4 linked regions of the Rattus norvegicus genome follow. The protein of the gene in region 2 purifies or fractionates together with the protein of the main gene of each other region. This does not show direct contact. Links are inferred from orthologs where the notes say so. Each region holds a gene or a part of one and is shown on either strand. Other genes may lie near its edges.

Region 1 (4,046 bases), on a different chromosome or scaffold from region 2:
AGTCAGGGCTCCTCTTGAGGCTGAGAGCCTGGGGCAAAGACGCCGGCAGGGAAGCTCCTCCTTAGCTGACCCTCCTCCCCCAGAGCCAGCTCCAACTCTTTCTGGGTTTCTAGGTGACTTGGCTGGCCCCTCTGGATGAGTTCTACTTTAAACCTGCTGCTGCTGCCTCCTCTGTATTGGGGGGGCTCCCACAGGGGCCCCCAGGCAGGAGCCCCCCCCCGGCCAAGCCCTGCGGGAGGGGCTGCAGCCCCCACCCCGGCTGGTGCCCATGTGTCTGCCCCTTCCGTTCCTCCGATCGCTGGAACACAGATTTCAGGGCACCTGCTATGGGCCAGGAGCTGCACAACCCCTCCTTTGGGGACACCCACGAGGCTTCTGCCCCCTCTGGGCAAACAACCATCCTTCACTGTGCGGTTTTCTGCTACGAGGCTCACTGAGGCTGGCTCCCATCTCAGGGTCAGCAGCGCCAAGAACTGCGGCAAGGTTTTCTCTGGAAAACCAGGATGCCTGGGTCCTCAAAGGAGGTGGCAGCTCCAGGCCTCCAGGGCTAGGGACGGGGGAGGGGCGCCTGCCGGCGGGAGGCCCATTAGCCAGCTAAGTGCTCCCTGGGAGGTGGGGGGGGGGACTGCTCTGCAGCAGCAGGGGGTGAGGCGAAGTGAGGGCACGCGGGTGGAGTGGGATGGAGAGAGATGCGGTGATATTTCCTGAGTTCAGCTAAGTGCGGTAGGAGTGGGTTGGGGACAGGGGTCTGTGTCCCCCAGCCTTATTATCTTCGCCTTTTCCACCTGGAGTCCTCAACTAGCTGACCTTGGCATGTCTTCGGTAGTTCGAACACCCGTCTTTCCAGGTGCACCCTCAATAGCCCCGGGCTCCCAAGCTCTCCTACTTTATCTAAGACTCCGGAAAACTTGAGACCTACTGAGCCGGCCAACAAAGACCCCCCCCCCCCCCAATTCCGCTCTATCATCCCTTTGGCTGCAGTCGCCGCCCCGACCGCCAGGGGGCGCCGCCGCGGGTCGGGCGACCCCTCCGCGGTGGGAGGGGGCGGCACCGCCCGACGGGGCGGGGCTCGGCGGGGGCGGGGCCGGGCGCCGAGTCTCCCGTCCGTCCGGGACAGACTGGCTGGCGGGCGGGCGCTGACGCCGCGGGGCCAGAGCGGGCCGCGCGGGAGCGTGTGGAGAAAGCAGTGGCACCGTCCGTTCCCGTCGGGGTTCCATAGGTCCCCGAGCCGCCCCTGGCTTGGCCATGGCGGGCGCGAGGCCCGGCGTCCACGCGCTGCAGCTGGAGCCGCCCACCGTGGTGGAGACCCTGCGGCGCGGGAGTAAATTCATCAAATGGGACGAGGTAAGAGAGTGGCTGTCCCCTACTCTGCCCTGATCGAAGGATTCCTTCAGTCACATTCGGCTAGATGCCAGGGACCCCCACTTCAGTGTAGCCTGACCACTGCACCCCTATTCCAGCCTTGCTGCACTCCGGAAACTTGAGTCCCACTGTTGTCCTGGTAATTGAAGACTTTGTCGTCGTCGTTCCCCTCACCGACCCGCAAACCAATCCTTTAGCTGTGGTCAGTTGGGTTCTCCACTCCTTGGCATGGAGACTTTGAACCTCAATAAATCCTGTCCCTCTTCTTACTCTTTCCCACCCTTGCCAGACGATGAATATCAGTCTCCATGCTGGTTCTCAGTTTCTGGTCTTGTCCTCAGATCCTTGTGCCTGGCACTGGGCTCCCAGGGGGTATAGGGCATCCTTGTCTTGGGTGGGGTGCCACTGGGATCCTACTCTTAGCAGTGCATCGCCTGAGCTATTCTATTCATCACATTTCAGCCTGTCCTGGTTGGTACCCCTTCATCCTGTTTCTGGGTTCCAGCGAGCTTTCTGTTCAGATGGGAGCGCCAAGTTACCCCTTACCGTAGACTTTGTCCCTTTCCAGGTCCCTCCAACTCTGGGAACTTTGCTCCCCACTCCTTAATTTAGTGACTTTGAACCCCAATAAATCCTGCCCTCCCCATTTTTTACTACTTTCTCCCTGGTACTTTCCTGATACCCACCTGCGGCTTCTTATCCAGATATCACGTCTTACCCACGTTTCTGGTTTCTGTACTGTTCTCTCCCCTGCCCCCTGGGCCCCTCGCTCCCTAGGGCCTCAACTCAGCGGCCTGAGCTTCCTTACTGTTCCTTCCCAGTCGGGCCATAGGCCTGGAAGACGCTAGGGCTAGGTTTCTTTCCGGCTGGGTGGGGCAGGAGTGGGAACTAAGGGGAGGGGCTGGGGGCGTGGCCTTAGCTGCAGGTGTGCTGGGCAAGGGTGGGTACCCCTGGGTCCCCAGAAGACCCCTTCCCCCAGGCCAGCCTAAAGGGAAAAATTTCTCCTTTTCCTTGCAGTGTGATAAACCCAAATAAGGAAGTGGGAACAAGGAGAGGGCCTGGGGTGGGGTGGGGGTGCCGAGCAAAGTTTGGAACTGCAGAGCCAGAGTCCTGGGTAGCCTTTGGAGGTTAGGACCCTGAGGATGGTACCACAGCGGCTTTAGGGACAGTACCCACAAATTTCTCCCTTTCTTGTACTACTGGTGGCTGGTTAGTCAGGCCCAGGGCAAGGTTCTGAATCTCCTGGAGAGGTTGGGACCTGGTTAGAGTTGAAGGATTATGAATGTCCCCAGATCAGCTGCTGTTCTTTTGTAAACCAAGACTGCATGGGTGGGGCAACCCCTATTCTCCCAAGAGACAAACTGAGGTCTCTGCTATGAGGTTGATGCTGAGATCAGGAGCCAGGGGTGGTCCAGAGGGGTCTTGGCTCTCTCTGTTTGCCACGTGCCAGGACTTTACAAGTGTACCCCTGGAGATCCCGACTCCTCAGTTTCCTCCTGTGTAAAATGAGGGTGATGCAGGACACATCCTACACGGCGTTGAGGAACATGAAGGGGGGTGAAATTCAGGGTGTAGAATTCGCTGTGGCTCACAGTTGGGGCTGTGGGACCTGGAGTGTATACTGTTGGTGGCAGGGTTGTCTAGAGCCAGAGTTTGGGGATTTCAATCCTCTTTTGGCTCAAGGGAGAGTAAGAGTAAGATTGACTTGAGTGAAGTCCTTGCTGGTCCTGAGTCTTGGGCTCCGTGGGGTAGCCTTGGGCATCAGTGACTGGGTCCTTTTTAGAAAGTGAGCCTTGAGGTTGGGGATTTAGCTCAGTGGTAGAGCGCTTGCCCAGCAAGCACAAGGCCCTGGGTTCGGTCCCCAGCTCCGAAAAACAAAAACAAAAACAAAAACAAAAAACAAAAAACAAAGAAAGTGAGCCTTTTCCTCATATCCTGCCTTCCTGTCAGTCACCATAGGGTTGTTAGGGAGAAGAGTGAACCCCCTGCCTAGTCTTCCTGAGGGACCTTTTCTATAAGATGGGTGAGCCTAGAGGCTATAAGGATCCCACGAGGTACAGTGTGATGGGTGATAAGCTTTGAGAAAGATCTTAGGGTGGCCAGATACTGTGAGGCCTCAAGGACAGAGAGAACTTTAGCTCCAGGCTTCTAAGCCCTCTGCTCTCATACAGGAATAATAAGGGATCGGAGGCAGAGGATTCTAGCATTCTTGACCTCTCAGGCCTTGTTGGGAAGCCAAAGCTAGAATGGGCTCCTGGAGACCTCCACAGCAGTTTCAAGGTAGAGAAAAAGTGAAAGTACAGGGTAGGGTGTGGCAAAAGCTGGGTGTTAGAGACAGGGTAGTAGCCTATGGGATAGAATCTCAGGGTAAAGGTGAAGCTGGGAGACATGTTAGAGACTGAACCTGAAATGTCACGCTGACGACTTGTCTTCGTCTCCAGGAGCACCTGTGTGTCGGCGGAGCGTCCTCTTAGCTCACTGGCAGAAACCAGCTACCGTAGGTCCAGCTCTCACTCCCCTGACCCTTGTCTTGTACTGCCCTCAGGAGGCCTCCAGTCGGAACCTGGTGACCCTGCGAGTGGACCCCAATGGCTTCTTCTTGTACTGGACAGGACCCAACATGGTGAGAGTGGTGTTGGTGCTGCCGGCTCAGGCCTAGGCCTCTAGGGGTGACCCCTGCCCTT
Region 2 (3,513 bases):
AGGTTCTGTTTTATTGCAAGTATTAGGAGTGAGTCCCAAGGGGTTGGGGGAGGGGGCTCCACTATTAACTACAAACATATGTGGAGCTGGAGAACTTTTAGGAAAAAAAAAAAAGCGAAAACATGAATTCCTTTCAGTCAGCAGGCCCAAGGCAGAACGGCTAAGGCCCTTGGCAGACCACCACGCATACTCCCTCTCTCACTCTTTTCTGTCTCTGTGTCTGTCTTGGCTGGCTGTGCCTATCTTTCTTTCTCTCTCTCTCTCTCTCTCTCTCTCTCTCTCTCTCTCTCTCTCCCTCTTTCTCTCTTTCTCTCTCTCGGTTTCTCTCTTCTCTGATCTTGCTATGACAGCCGCAGCACCCAGTGGACAAGACAAGGGTTCATGGGGTCGTGGGTTGGTTTCTGGGTGGTGTAATACCACCTTCCAGTCTGCTGAGGCTTGGGGAGCTCTGGAGAGGCCCAAGGTCCGTGCAGGAAGAGACCGTGGGACCCCTGGACAGGCAGAGAGGGGCTCAGAAGTTGCTGAAGATCTCTCGCTTCCGGTTCCAGTCCATCTGTGGTGCTCTCTTATTGACCCGAGTAGCTCGAGCCTTCTCCTTGGCCTCGGCTGCTGTGGGGCTCAGGTGGAGACCACTTTCCTGGAAGGGGTCTCTCTTCCAAGCACTGCCATCCTGGGGGCAGGCAAGGTACAAACAGTGAGCCTTACCCGTGGCAGCCACTTTCCCAAGGAACTAACACCAGTGGCCACCTCAGGGCCCGGACCACTAGCCCAAGAGGCTTCTTGGAAGTGGTAGCCCACCATCTTGGTAGGTATCTCCACAGAGACCCAATCTGAAGGCCTCCGAAGCCCCATGTGTGAGCAGAGTTACCTCATTGTCCTTCTCTGAGCCTGGCAGGTCGCTTCGGGAAGAGCACACGGAGCCACCATTGAGCTAGGAAACCAAGGGCAGGTTGTGGTTTCAGCATCCCCATCCTGGTGCACCCAGATCTTCACACGCGCACACACACACACACACAAAGCTGCAGCCAGTCCTTGTTCAGCAGTGAGCACACTTCTGTCACTGCCCGGGCTAGGGCACAGCTGGCACCTAACAGCCAAGTCCAACCTGAGCAGTCATGACATGGGAGAGCAGCTGTGGCCATGGGAGTCAGCTATGCGAATTCACCTGTTGTCAAACCAGGACTAGTACCCCAAGAAGGTAAAGATCACTCAGTAGTCATGTAGGAACAAGGCACGGAAAGACGGCCAGGTATCTGCCCACATTGTGCGTCTGAGCTGCTGCCAACCCCTATACAGACTCCACAGTGGCTGGGGTTTTTTTGGTTTTTGGTTTTTGGTTTTTTTGTTTTGTTTTGTTTTGTTTTTGAGACAGGGTTTCTCTGTGCAGTTCTGACTGCCTTAGAACTCACTCCGTAGACCAAGCTGGCCTTGAACTCACAGATCTGCCTGCTTTGGTTCCCAAGTGCCAGGATTAATGCCTGGCTAGCATGGGTGTGTATTTTTGAGGTAACCAAGCCAGATAGGTTTCACAACTGTGCAGAGATCTCCAGGAGAGGCAGCCTCTACCATGTCTAGGGACACGGGTAGAGGTATACCGATGGTCCCCTTGGGCACACCCTCTCACCTGGGCAAGGCTGGTCCCGTTCGTGACTGGTGATGGCAGTGGACCTGTGGGGACAGCAAGTTAGCGGCTGCACTGACTGACCCTACCCTCTGCCCCGAAGGCAGCATCCTACCTTCCACGTGATCCTCGGTGGGTACGACCCGCAACCGTTTGAAGTGTTCATCAGTCTCGGGGTCTACAACCAGCAACCGGGCCTCATCCTCCTGTGCCTTGATTCTGGCAACAACTTCGGCATGGCGCAGCCCCTCCACATTCTGCCCATTCACCTGCCGCCACCCACACAGGGTCAGAAAGGCCTGAGGGGCCCAGTCGGCCCAATGCCACCCAGCCAGGTGTGCCATCAAATATTCATCGAAGCCACCAGCAGCCAAAGCAGCTAGAAGAGTGCCAGCTCAAGTTCCCTGTGTCTTCCCTCCTCCTGCAGGGACCCAGGGCCATACATGGACACTCAGGGACATACAGATACAAACACAGGGACTCAGGGTACCTCAATGAGCCGGTCTTGGGCCCGGAGGCCAGAGAGAGAAGCAGGAGAGCCAGGGTCCACAGAGCGGATGTATTGGCCAGGCCGAGACTTGTCACTGTGCAGGTTGAATCCGTAGCCCTGGGGTCCCCTTCGTAAGTGGCAGAGCCGGGGACGCAGCTCTCTTGGGGGCCCATTGACATCCTGCAGAACCACAGAAAGTGACATCGGGCTCTATCCGCAGCCTCCCAACCCTCATGCTTTAAGGGACCAATCCCCAGATTTCATTGACAACGCTATGTGCCCTGTGACTGAGAGGTTTGGAGGAGTTACCTGTTACACAGCTTTAGCTGTGGGGTTAGGGACACAGCATGTCACCAAGCATGTAAACATCTAATGAGATAGCTGCTGGCAGGACCTATGGAAGAATCCATAGGGGGCACTGTGCACAGCTTGGGGATCTCGAAGGAACCAGAAGGGATAACTGCCCCATCCGAGGCTCAGGAAGCCTACCTTTAGGTTTTGCCTCCCCCTGTCTCCCTTCTGGCCCCCCTTCTCTAGAGCTAGTACCCTGGAGGCCTGAGCAGTCTCGTTTTCTCCTCATGGACTTCAAGAGGCTCCCTGGGTTACCGTGGCAGCTCTTTGCTTTAGAATTCCAGCACTAACTCCTGGAGTCACTGCCCCAACCCCATGGGCCCAGAAAGCACGGGCAGCCAAGTTAGCCTATGATGCTCCCTAACCCACAATATGGAAGGGCTCATGGTACCCACAGGGAATCCCCCGCCACTGCCCCAGGCTGCCCTTCTTTACCTCTGGCATCCTGCAGTAGGTCTCTGGGCCAGGAGGCTACGCAGGAAGGGGCCAGCCTGCTGACCTCCCACCCCAGCCAGGGGCCACGCCAGAGATGCTGCCTCTGAATGGTCAGCAGCTGCCGGTGCCTAGTTACACAGGGCCAGCGGCTGGGGTGGGCAGGCAGGTGGCAGCTCAGGTTTCTGGGTGTGAGTGCAGGTGACAATGTAGTAGCAGGGGGCATTGCCTCCCTTCCACTACTACTCTGCCCCCTCATGGCTGATGCTGAGGGACTCTGGAGAGGAAAGGCTGCTTCCGGTCTCAGGGCAGATCTCTAAGACTCAGGTAACTCCTTTCCCCCAAGCCTGAATACCTCTACACTCCTGCTGTCCACTACCACCACCCCTCTTTCGGTGTTTTGGAGAACCCAGGCTAGCCTCAAACTCCCAACTCAAAGTGATCTTTTGCTTCAGCTTCTGAGTGCTGGAATTATAGGCATAGACCACACGCTTAGCTCCAAAGCCTAAGTGTGGGTTGAGCCATGTCCACAGGCAGCAGCCAAATGCAGGAATAAGTACACTCTTCTATGCTGGACCACTCCTAGTTTTAGGGTTCTGGGATAGCCCTTTGTCCTGCC
Region 3 (4,255 bases), about 560 kb from region 2:
TCTGGGCACCATACTTGGTGTTACTTGACTCTGTCAGAGCTTAGGGCTGGAGATGTGCAGAAATCAGTTTTCTGCCCTTCTCTGCCTCAAGGCTTCTCCCCACTGTTCCATAGACCCAGGGTGTTCATAGCTGAGACTTGGGAGGCCATAGCAACTATTGAGTATGGCAAAGATGCTGCCATACACTTTTTCCACTTGTTTTAATGCAAAACCCAACATAAACTGATGGTGATGCCAATGGGTGTAGCGCCTCTTAGGCAGAGTGTATGATAAGGGTCCTGACAGATTTGACAGGGCTAGGACGACTCTCAGAACCTCTGAAGATAAGTGGCTTCTGGCCTAACACTTGAGGGTTGTAGGTTAGAATGTGGAACAATGGCCTTGGAAGGAAGCTCTTTCAAGCACGTTTGCAGCGGTAAGCAAATGAACTAGCCAATATGCATACCTGAAAATTCCCTGTAATTCATTTCTTCCATATGAAGAATCCAAACTCTACAGAAATTTTTACAAATGGCAAAATTTCCCCTCCTCATGTAGTCCACCCTAGTTTAATCATCTGGGTTAGTGACTGCAAGTGGGTCACTGTGCAGGCGAAAGCCTCCATTATGACCATAGTGTGATTGAACATGGCACAAATCAAAAACTGTTACAGTATTTAGAGCTGCTGCGGCTATTCCCTAGCCACGTACAGTAGGATGAATCAATAGTCTATTGCTGTCATTCAGGTTGGTGGCAGTCAGTTAGAACATATGTAATATTCTCTACCTGGTCTGTAGCTGTAACTGTGATGTACAGGCAAAGGAAAAATTAAAAATACTTATGAAAACAGATAATGCAATGATACTAGGATATACACTTTTGTATTTTTATTCTTATATAAGGTTATTTGCTGGCTATTGTCGGCCTCTAGTTCAGTCTGTATTATTTAAATTCTAATATATGAATTATTTGGATTGAATTCATGTTTGGGGCCACGTTGTATGTATTGATGTACAGCCTTGAATGTGAATAATTATTGTAAACTATATTTTACAACTTTTTTCCTGGCTTTATTATATAAATTTTCTATTTGGTCATGGTTTAATCATATAATTTAATGAAACAACTTCTTTTTTTTTCAAATATCTGTGCTTTAGATGTAATTACCGGATGATGGATTTCCCTCGTATGCTCGGTAGTCTTGTAATAAAAGCATGTAGAGTGTACACTTTCTTCTGTCCTGGATTCTCTTTGGGTGGGGGCGGGTCTTGAGCTTAGGATGCCCGTGAGAACCCGAGGCTTGCTCCAGCCGGAAGCTGTAATCTCCGGTCTGCTTTTCGAGCCGGAACTTCCGTCTTGCACATGAGACCTGGGCGGGCACTTTATTGGGGCGTACTTATGGGCGGGCCAACTCGGGGGACTGTATTAAAGAACGGACGCTTCCGGCGAAGGGGCGCTGTGGCGGGGCTTGTTAGGATCATGGCGGAGAATCACTGCGAGCTGCTACCGCCGGCTCCGAGCGGCCTCGGGGCGGGGCTGGGGGGCGGCCTGTGCCGCCGCTGCAGCGCTGGGATCGGCGCCCTGGCTCAGCGCCCCAGTGGCGTGTCCAAGTGGGTCCGTCTCAACGTCGGCGGCACCTACTTCCTCACCACCCGGCAGACGCTGTGCCGGGACCCGAAGTCTTTCCTGTACCGCTTGTGCCAGGCGGACCCCGACCTAGATTCGGACAAGGTGAGGGCCTCGCGGGTCAACAGGGGTCTGGCCGCCCTGGTAGCCACTCGCGGCACACACCTCTCTCCACACTGAGGGCGCCCAGCGAAGCGGACATACTCAGCCTAGCGTCCTGGGCCGGGGGAAGGATGGCACTCTTGTACCCACCTGCCTCAGGTTTAACAGTGCTTCTCTTGCTTTTCATGTTCTTCGGTCGAGAAAGACCCAAGCTTTGCTGTGTCCCTACTTTCTTCTCCCTAGATTGTTTTGCCCAGGGTGTGTGACTACCACCGCCCAACTATTTGCTGGCTTTGGAACCTGAGAGCCCTTTGCATTCATCTGGTCTTTTCACATTCCAGACGTTTAAATAAACGTAGGCCATAAGGGTTGCCACAGTGGCTACCCTTTTTCCAGTGACTTGCAGAGTTTGTGCTTCATCCTTCTCATCCATAATAAGAACAGGCATCGCAGCTCTTAGAAGGTACCTCCTGAGTAAAAATGTTCAAGGGTGTCAGTTTACTTCTAATATATGAATTATTTGTATTGAATTCATGTTCGGGGCCAGGTGTAGAAAAACCTTAGGATTGTGAAAGAGAGACCAGGTAGAGAGAATCCTTTTCGATCTGCTTTTCAGACTTTGTTTCCCCACTGCCTTTGAAAAGAGTAGGAATTTCCAGCTTAGTTTGTGGTTTGTTTAGTTTTAATTTAATTAAACGCTAATACTGTTATACCTGTGGTAATAGAAGGTATTTCGATTATTATCATTACAAAAGTTGTGTGATATATTGCATAACTGAGAAATAAGTATTGTGCAGGACCGAAATATAGGGAAAAATCGTTCTCTCCCCTTTCCTCCTAGACAGTTTACTGAGTTTTCTGGTTCAGTTTACGTGATGGCACTTGATTTTGTGCCTTGCCACCTGAAAGTTTCCACTCAGGAGGTTTTCGAGAAAGATTGGAGCCCACTGCACTTTAAACAGCTTGACAGAGCACCTTCACAGTGAGGCCTGGCATTATGATCAGGAAATAAGAATTCTTGAGTTACTGCAAAATAATCACGAAGTTAGGGTTTGAGATATACTGTGGTAGTCCCTCATATCCTTCCTCCCAGCTGTTCCCATTTCTGAGTTGACCAAATCTCTTTACTCGTAGAGAATTGACCTCCTAGAAGATGACAGAAGTCTGAAGGATAGAAATAGGCTTTGGTCATTGGTGTTTTCTTTTTATAGTTGAGGCTGTATGTTTTACTGTTGGTTTTTCAAACAGTGGGCATTTATAATCATTCTTGTCTTTCTACTCAAGCATCTCTGTCTTAAATCAGATTTTAAATTTTAAATCAGCCTTGGCCATTGGCTTCTGGTGTCTTTTGCCTACTTAGCACTGGAACAATGGATCTAGAATTGTTTGACTTCTGCACAGTTCAAGTCAAATATATCTCTTCATTTTACTGTCTTTTAAGATTATTTTATAAGTTATCCTTTATTGTGCTGGTGAGATGGCACAAGCTGCCAATCAAGCCTGACAACTTAAGAGTCTCTAGGATCTACAAGGTGGAAGGAGAAACACTTGACTGAAAAGTTATATTCTGAGCTGAGCAGTGGCCGTGCATACCTTTAATTCAAGCACTTGGGAGGCAGAGGCAGGCAGATATATCAGTTTGAGGCCAGCATGGTCTACAGAGGGAGTTTCAAAACAGCCAGGTTACACAGAGAAACACTGACTCAAAAAACAAAACAAAACAAAATAGCTGGAGAGATGGCTCAGTGGTTGAAAACACCGGCTGTTCTTCCAGAGACCCTGGGTTCTATACTCAGCACCCACATCACAACCGTAACTCCAGTTTCAGGGGATCCGAGACCCATATTGACATATGCAAGCAAAACACTAATGCACATAAAATATGTCATTAAAAATTCATATACAAAAAGCCTGGTGTGGGAGTGCACTGCTTTTAATCCCAGCACTCAGGAGGTAGAGGCAGACGGATTTCTGAGTTCCAGGCCAGCCTGGTATACAGAGTGAGTTCCCAGATAGCTGGGGCTATACAGAGAAACTGTCTCAAAAAAAAAAAAAATTGTACAGTGAATTTTCGTTGCTTGTTATGGTACTTGTGTGCCCACACACATACATAAATAAATGTGTGTGTGTGTCTATGTGGATATGCGTTTTTTCTTTATTGCAATGTAAGATTATCAGAATATATTTTAGTTGCTTTTAAAAGTTTATTATTGGGGTTGGGGATTTAGCTCAGTGGTAGAGCGCTTGCCTAGGAAGCGCAAGGCCCTGGGTTCGGTCCCCAGCTCCGAAAAAAAGAACCCCCCCCCCAAAAAAAAAGTTTATTCTTTAGGAACTAGAGAGTTGGCTCACTGGTTAAGAACACTTGCTCTTACAGAGGACCCAGGTTGGATTCTCAGAACTTCTCATAGTGGCTTTTAACAATCTGTGATTCCAGGTCTGGGGAGTCTGACACTCTCCTTTGACCCCTTTGGCATCAGGCACATACATGTTACACATAACGCATGGGCATTTAAAATACTCATACACATAATGTAAGATAAATTAAATT
Region 4 (4,129 bases), on a different chromosome or scaffold from region 2:
ATCCAGGGATGAGGTCTTGCATATATCAATGTGGGTGTTAAAGACCAATTCATTCAAATTAAACTGCAACTAGGACACATGCTGGACTAAAAACCTCTAGCTGTGGAAGAAGCTCTGTGGGCATCATGGGTTGTTAGTATATGCACCTACAATATAAAACTGAAAGTCTTAATTCTCCTAAGCTAACCTTATTTCAAACAGAAGTTCTGACCACTAAAATCCCTTTCAACCAGAGTTCGAGTAGCTTACAAAGCTCAAAAACAATACCCAGTAGCCATGTAACTCCACGACTTAGTTCCAGCCAAGACTCCAGGCAAGGGAGAAACTGACTGGTCACCCCTGGACAAGCACTTGAACAGATACTAAAATACTGCTAGAGTTCAGGTCACATCAGAGGCAGTAATCACCGACATTACTAAGTCTAGTCTGTTTCAAGTCCTGTCGCAGTTCTGACAATAAAGGCTGCAAGACAGAAGCAGGCCAACTCATCTTTTATGCAAGATTCAAACTTGGAAAGTGAAATAAAGTAATTAAAAACGCCGAAGGTGAGCAACACTCAAAACAACAAACATACACACACACTTCTCGGGTGTCTACAAGAACTCAGTGAGCAAAGAAGCGTGGCAGACGGTGGAACAGGAGCATCAGTTGACAAGAGCACAGCCCCAGAGGCCCACACACACTGCCTTGTCTATGAATGGTAAACTGTGGACAGCTGAATAGGGAAGGCATCATGGAACACTTTCCGTTGGTCATTGTCCTCTGTCTATATTAATGTGTTACCTGGAATCCCAAACCGCCTGCAACCCAACGAGAGCAGAGGCCTGGAGGAAACCACCTTTACAGTTAAGGACCCGTACCCCTCTTAGGTGTTTCCTGTATTTCCAGGTGACTTTGCCACCTCGTCCACCCGGCTTTCCAACCTCAGACCTGGACACTAAAAAGTGCAGATTTAAAGAATACTGAATTTAGTACTTGCACAAACAGCATGTGAACCAGCTAGAAAAGACTGCCAGACTCACCAGGCCCCTCGAATCATTTATCGGTCCGGGCCAGGGTTCGAAGCCGCTATACAGAAACATGCATGCAACTTCCTTACCTGCATAGAATCGGATGAGGCAGCCAATCTCCGAATCCATGCCTTCCTCCTGCACCCTCCACAGCTCCCCAAATCCCAGTTGGAAGAGGTAGTCATTTTGGATCTGCAATGGCTTCTCGTCCGCCTCCAGGCGCCGGGTAGTCTCCCCATGGAGCTGTACATACAGGGAGGGCGGAGAAGACGTCTTTTGCACGGTCTCCCGGATCCTCCCTGGAGTCCACAGAGGAACGCCTGGAGCTGCAGCTGCCACCGCCTTGTCGTCTCCGGGACCTTCGCCCACCACTAGGCCAGTGCCGTCTACGCCCGTCGGGGCTTTCGGCTGCAGTAACGCCGAGGTCTTCGGGGAAGGCGGTCGAGGCTGTGAGGAGCGGACTGGGTGGTGGGGCGGCCCGGAAGGCCCCGTCAAGACCGTGGCCGGGTCAGCTTCTAGTTCCTCGGACGAAGAGGAGGAGCCGCCGCCGCTGCTATAGGGGTCCAGCCGGTCTGACACGCTCTCGGCGCTGGGGCTCAGGCTGAAGCTCTCGGTGTCGGAGGCCGGGCGCGGGGCGCGGGACGGGGAACAGGGGCCGCCCGCGAACAGCTCTCCGGGGCTGGAGTCCGAGGGCGCAGGGTTGACCCGAGGTGCACAGCGCGTCCAGGCGCCCCCGGGCAGCGGCAGATCGGCAGGAGGCGCGCGCGCAGGGCCCCGGACAGCACCGACCGTGCTGCTCGAGGGCGGTGGCTCCACGTCTCTTCCGAGCTCTGTGGCCGGGGTCTGATCGCTGGCGGCCGGGGCAGCGGCCGGAGGTGGCCCGTGGCCCAGCACCTTCACCACCCCGCCGCCTTTGTGGCCCAGCTGCAGAAGCCGGGCGGCCACCTCGGCGGCTGTGGTGTCCAGCGTGCAGAGCACTGGGCGCAGGTAGGACGAGGCCATGTGGCGGTCAAAGACGTGCACACAGCCCCGCTGGAGCTGGTGCCTCACCCAGTCCCGGTCCGACGGCTGCAGCTGAAGCAGCTGCCGGTGCTTCTGGAGCAGCGTCTTCCTGTCCAGACTCCGGGTGCACAGCGACGCCGAGGCCGAGCAGGACGCCGGGAGGCCGCCAGCGGCCGAAGACGCCGAGGACGGCGATGAGGACGACGAAGCGGCGGCCGACAGATTCCTCTTCAGCCGCCCTCTCCTCAGCAGCAGCGAGTTGGCGCCGCCGCCGGCCGCGGTCACCGGGGCGGCCCCGCCGGCCGCGGGCTGGGGCACCCCGCGCCGACGCCTGCGTCCGGTGCCTCCCGCGCGGCCGGGCAGCGGCCCCGGCGGCGCCTCGCAGGGGGCCTCCTCTCGCGCCGCGCCGCCGTTCCCGCCGCTCGGGGCCGCCGCGCTCAGCACAGAATCCGGACTCCGTCCGCCCTCGGCCGCCGCCGCCGCCGCCGGGGCTCGGTCCTCACCCGTGGGGTCCGCGAGTCGCTGTGCCGGGGCTGCGGCGGCGGGCTCCATCGTAGCGGGGTTTCACGTCGCCCCCCCAGCTCCGGAGGCAGCGGAGGAGGAGGAGGTGAGGCGAAGGTGGGAGACGGCGGCGGCAGCGGCGCGCGGAGAACGGAGACGCCGATGGCGTTCGGCGCGGCTGTTCCAGAGGATTATGTGGCGATCCGGAGCATTCCGTCGGTGTCTCGGTGTTCCATCCCGCGCGCCGCCCGCCCGTTTCGCCGCCACCGCCCCCCCCACACACACCCTCCCCGCTGGTCCGGGGCTCCCCAGCGCCAGGCCCCGCCCGCTGCCCGTCAGCCTGAGCTCCCCGGAGCTGCGGCCCGACCTCACTCATGAATATTAATGAAGCGCGGGAAGGCGGGCGGTGGCGGGGCGGAGTTGCTCATGAATATGCATCGTTAGCATGACGACATTTCTGGGGAGAGCGGGAGGCTGGGGGCGGGGCCTCAGGGTAAACAAACGTGACGCGTGCGTATGGGGGTGGGGCAGAACTGTTTCCCAGGAGGTTTGTCCTCGCCATAGACGAGAGCTGGCGAGAGGGGCTCGCGTTGCACAGTGGGGGTTGTAGTTCATCTCCTGGGCGAGCCTCCAATGGAGACCAATAGCGAACTACAAGACCCAGATATCGTCAGATTCTGCCCTCCCTCTCTTCCAGCTTCTGGCCCTAGCTAGTGGGTATTGTGCCCTCTGCTGTTGAACTCTGTGTCCTGTGAACGTTTTTCATTAACTCGCTTCTCTACCGTTTGCCAGATGAGTTTTATTTTCCTGGCTAATTGAGATTGAGAGCTTTCAGGGACTCTAAACTCTAGGTAAGGCCTTTGAATGAGACAAAAATACACAGTTCACAGGATCGCTGGCCCGGTCTTCCTTTTTCCGCACTTTTTTCATGGTCCATGAAAACTAGCAGTGTTTGGAAATTCTTCTTTAGAAGATAGTTGAACGTGCTTCCTGTAAAGCACTCAAATTAAGCCCATCTACTCCCTCCCATATTAGGACAGAAATAGCTAAGGACTTGGGGCCTTGTATCCTGTTGGTAAAAGCTTACATAACAGAAAACAGTAGACGAAGGGAGAAATATTAGAATGGAGACATTGTGGGACTTGCTTTCTCTTAGTCCTTTCAGGATTTTTCTTTCCACACTCGGGGCTGGGTAGAGGGTGAATGAGACAAGGTTTCTCGGTATAGTCTGATCTCCATACTTCCTCAAACTGCTCACCACCTAGGCTTTAACTATGTTGTGTGAGTTCTTACTGTTGCAATGTATGATCTATAAACTTACTTTTTATTGGTTGAAACAAGCTGGTTTGAGGCAATTAACTATTTGAAATATTTGATAAACGTCGTGCATTGAGTTGCCACCCTCATAGTAGCTTTACATAGGTAGATACTCACTTTCGAGGCTTTGGGTTACATACTATCCAGAGCCTGCCTTAATTTTAGAAAACTTTGGTAGGAGAGAGAGAACTGAAATTCCTATCAAGGCAGCTTGGTTTTAGGTTAGCTACACATTTTTGTTGAAGAGGGATGAGAAAGCAGCCAGGACAAAAAGTTTTTCAGTGATTGTTAAATTTCTA

What was found. Proteins that work in one complex are often made in the same cells at the same time.
Region 1: the proteins of Nherf2 (region 2) and Plcb3 purify together in Homo sapiens (co-immunoprecipitation; 3 studies listed by BioGRID and IntAct, with this or other methods). This does not show direct contact. The link is inferred for Rattus norvegicus from reciprocal best matches to the Homo sapiens genes NHERF2 and PLCB3.
Region 3: the proteins of Nherf2 (region 2) and Kctd5 purify together in Homo sapiens (affinity purification with mass spectrometry; 3 studies listed by BioGRID and IntAct, with this or other methods). This does not show direct contact. The link is inferred for Rattus norvegicus from reciprocal best matches to the Homo sapiens genes NHERF2 and KCTD5.
Region 4: the proteins of Nherf2 (region 2) and Phlpp1 purify together in Homo sapiens (affinity purification with mass spectrometry; 3 studies listed by BioGRID and IntAct, with this or other methods). This does not show direct contact. The link is inferred for Rattus norvegicus from reciprocal best matches to the Homo sapiens genes NHERF2 and PHLPP1.

The regions. Positions count from the first base shown.
Region 1 is NC_086019.1:213,586,623-213,590,668, reverse strand, and holds the start of Plcb3 (1-phosphatidylinositol 4,5-bisphosphate phosphodiesterase beta-3), read left to right. Parts: upstream 1-1,233; 5' UTR 1,234-1,245; coding exon 1,246-1,344; intron 1,345-3,907; coding exon 3,908-3,985; intron 3,986-4,046. UniProt on the Homo sapiens protein: Catalyzes the production of the second messenger molecules diacylglycerol (DAG) and inositol 1,4,5-trisphosphate (IP3).
Region 2 is NC_086028.1:14,167,515-14,171,027, forward strand, and holds part of Nherf2 (Na(+)/H(+) exchange regulatory cofactor NHE-RF2), read right to left. Parts: exon of another isoform or gene 2,907-3,513; coding exon of another isoform or gene 2,898-2,906; intron 2,292-2,897; coding exon 2,112-2,291; intron 1,891-2,111; coding exon 1,737-1,890; intron 1,669-1,736; coding exon 1,625-1,668; intron 932-1,624; coding exon 869-931; intron 671-868; coding exon 512-670; 3' UTR 1-511.
Region 3 is NC_086028.1:13,606,950-13,611,204, reverse strand, and holds the start of Kctd5 (BTB/POZ domain-containing protein KCTD5), read left to right. Parts: upstream 1-1,442; 5' UTR 1,443-1,458; coding exon 1,459-1,710; intron 1,711-4,255. UniProt on the Homo sapiens protein: Its interaction with CUL3 suggests that it may act as a substrate adapter in some E3 ligase complex. Does not affect the function of Kv channel Kv2.1/KCNB1, Kv1.2/KCNA2, Kv4.2/KCND2 and Kv3.4/KCNC4.
Region 4 is NC_086031.1:22,821,816-22,825,944, reverse strand, and holds the start of Phlpp1 (PH domain leucine-rich repeat protein phosphatase 1), read right to left. Parts: upstream 2,814-4,129; 5' UTR 2,565-2,813; coding exon 1,100-2,564; intron 1-1,099. UniProt on the Homo sapiens protein: Protein phosphatase involved in regulation of Akt and PKC signaling.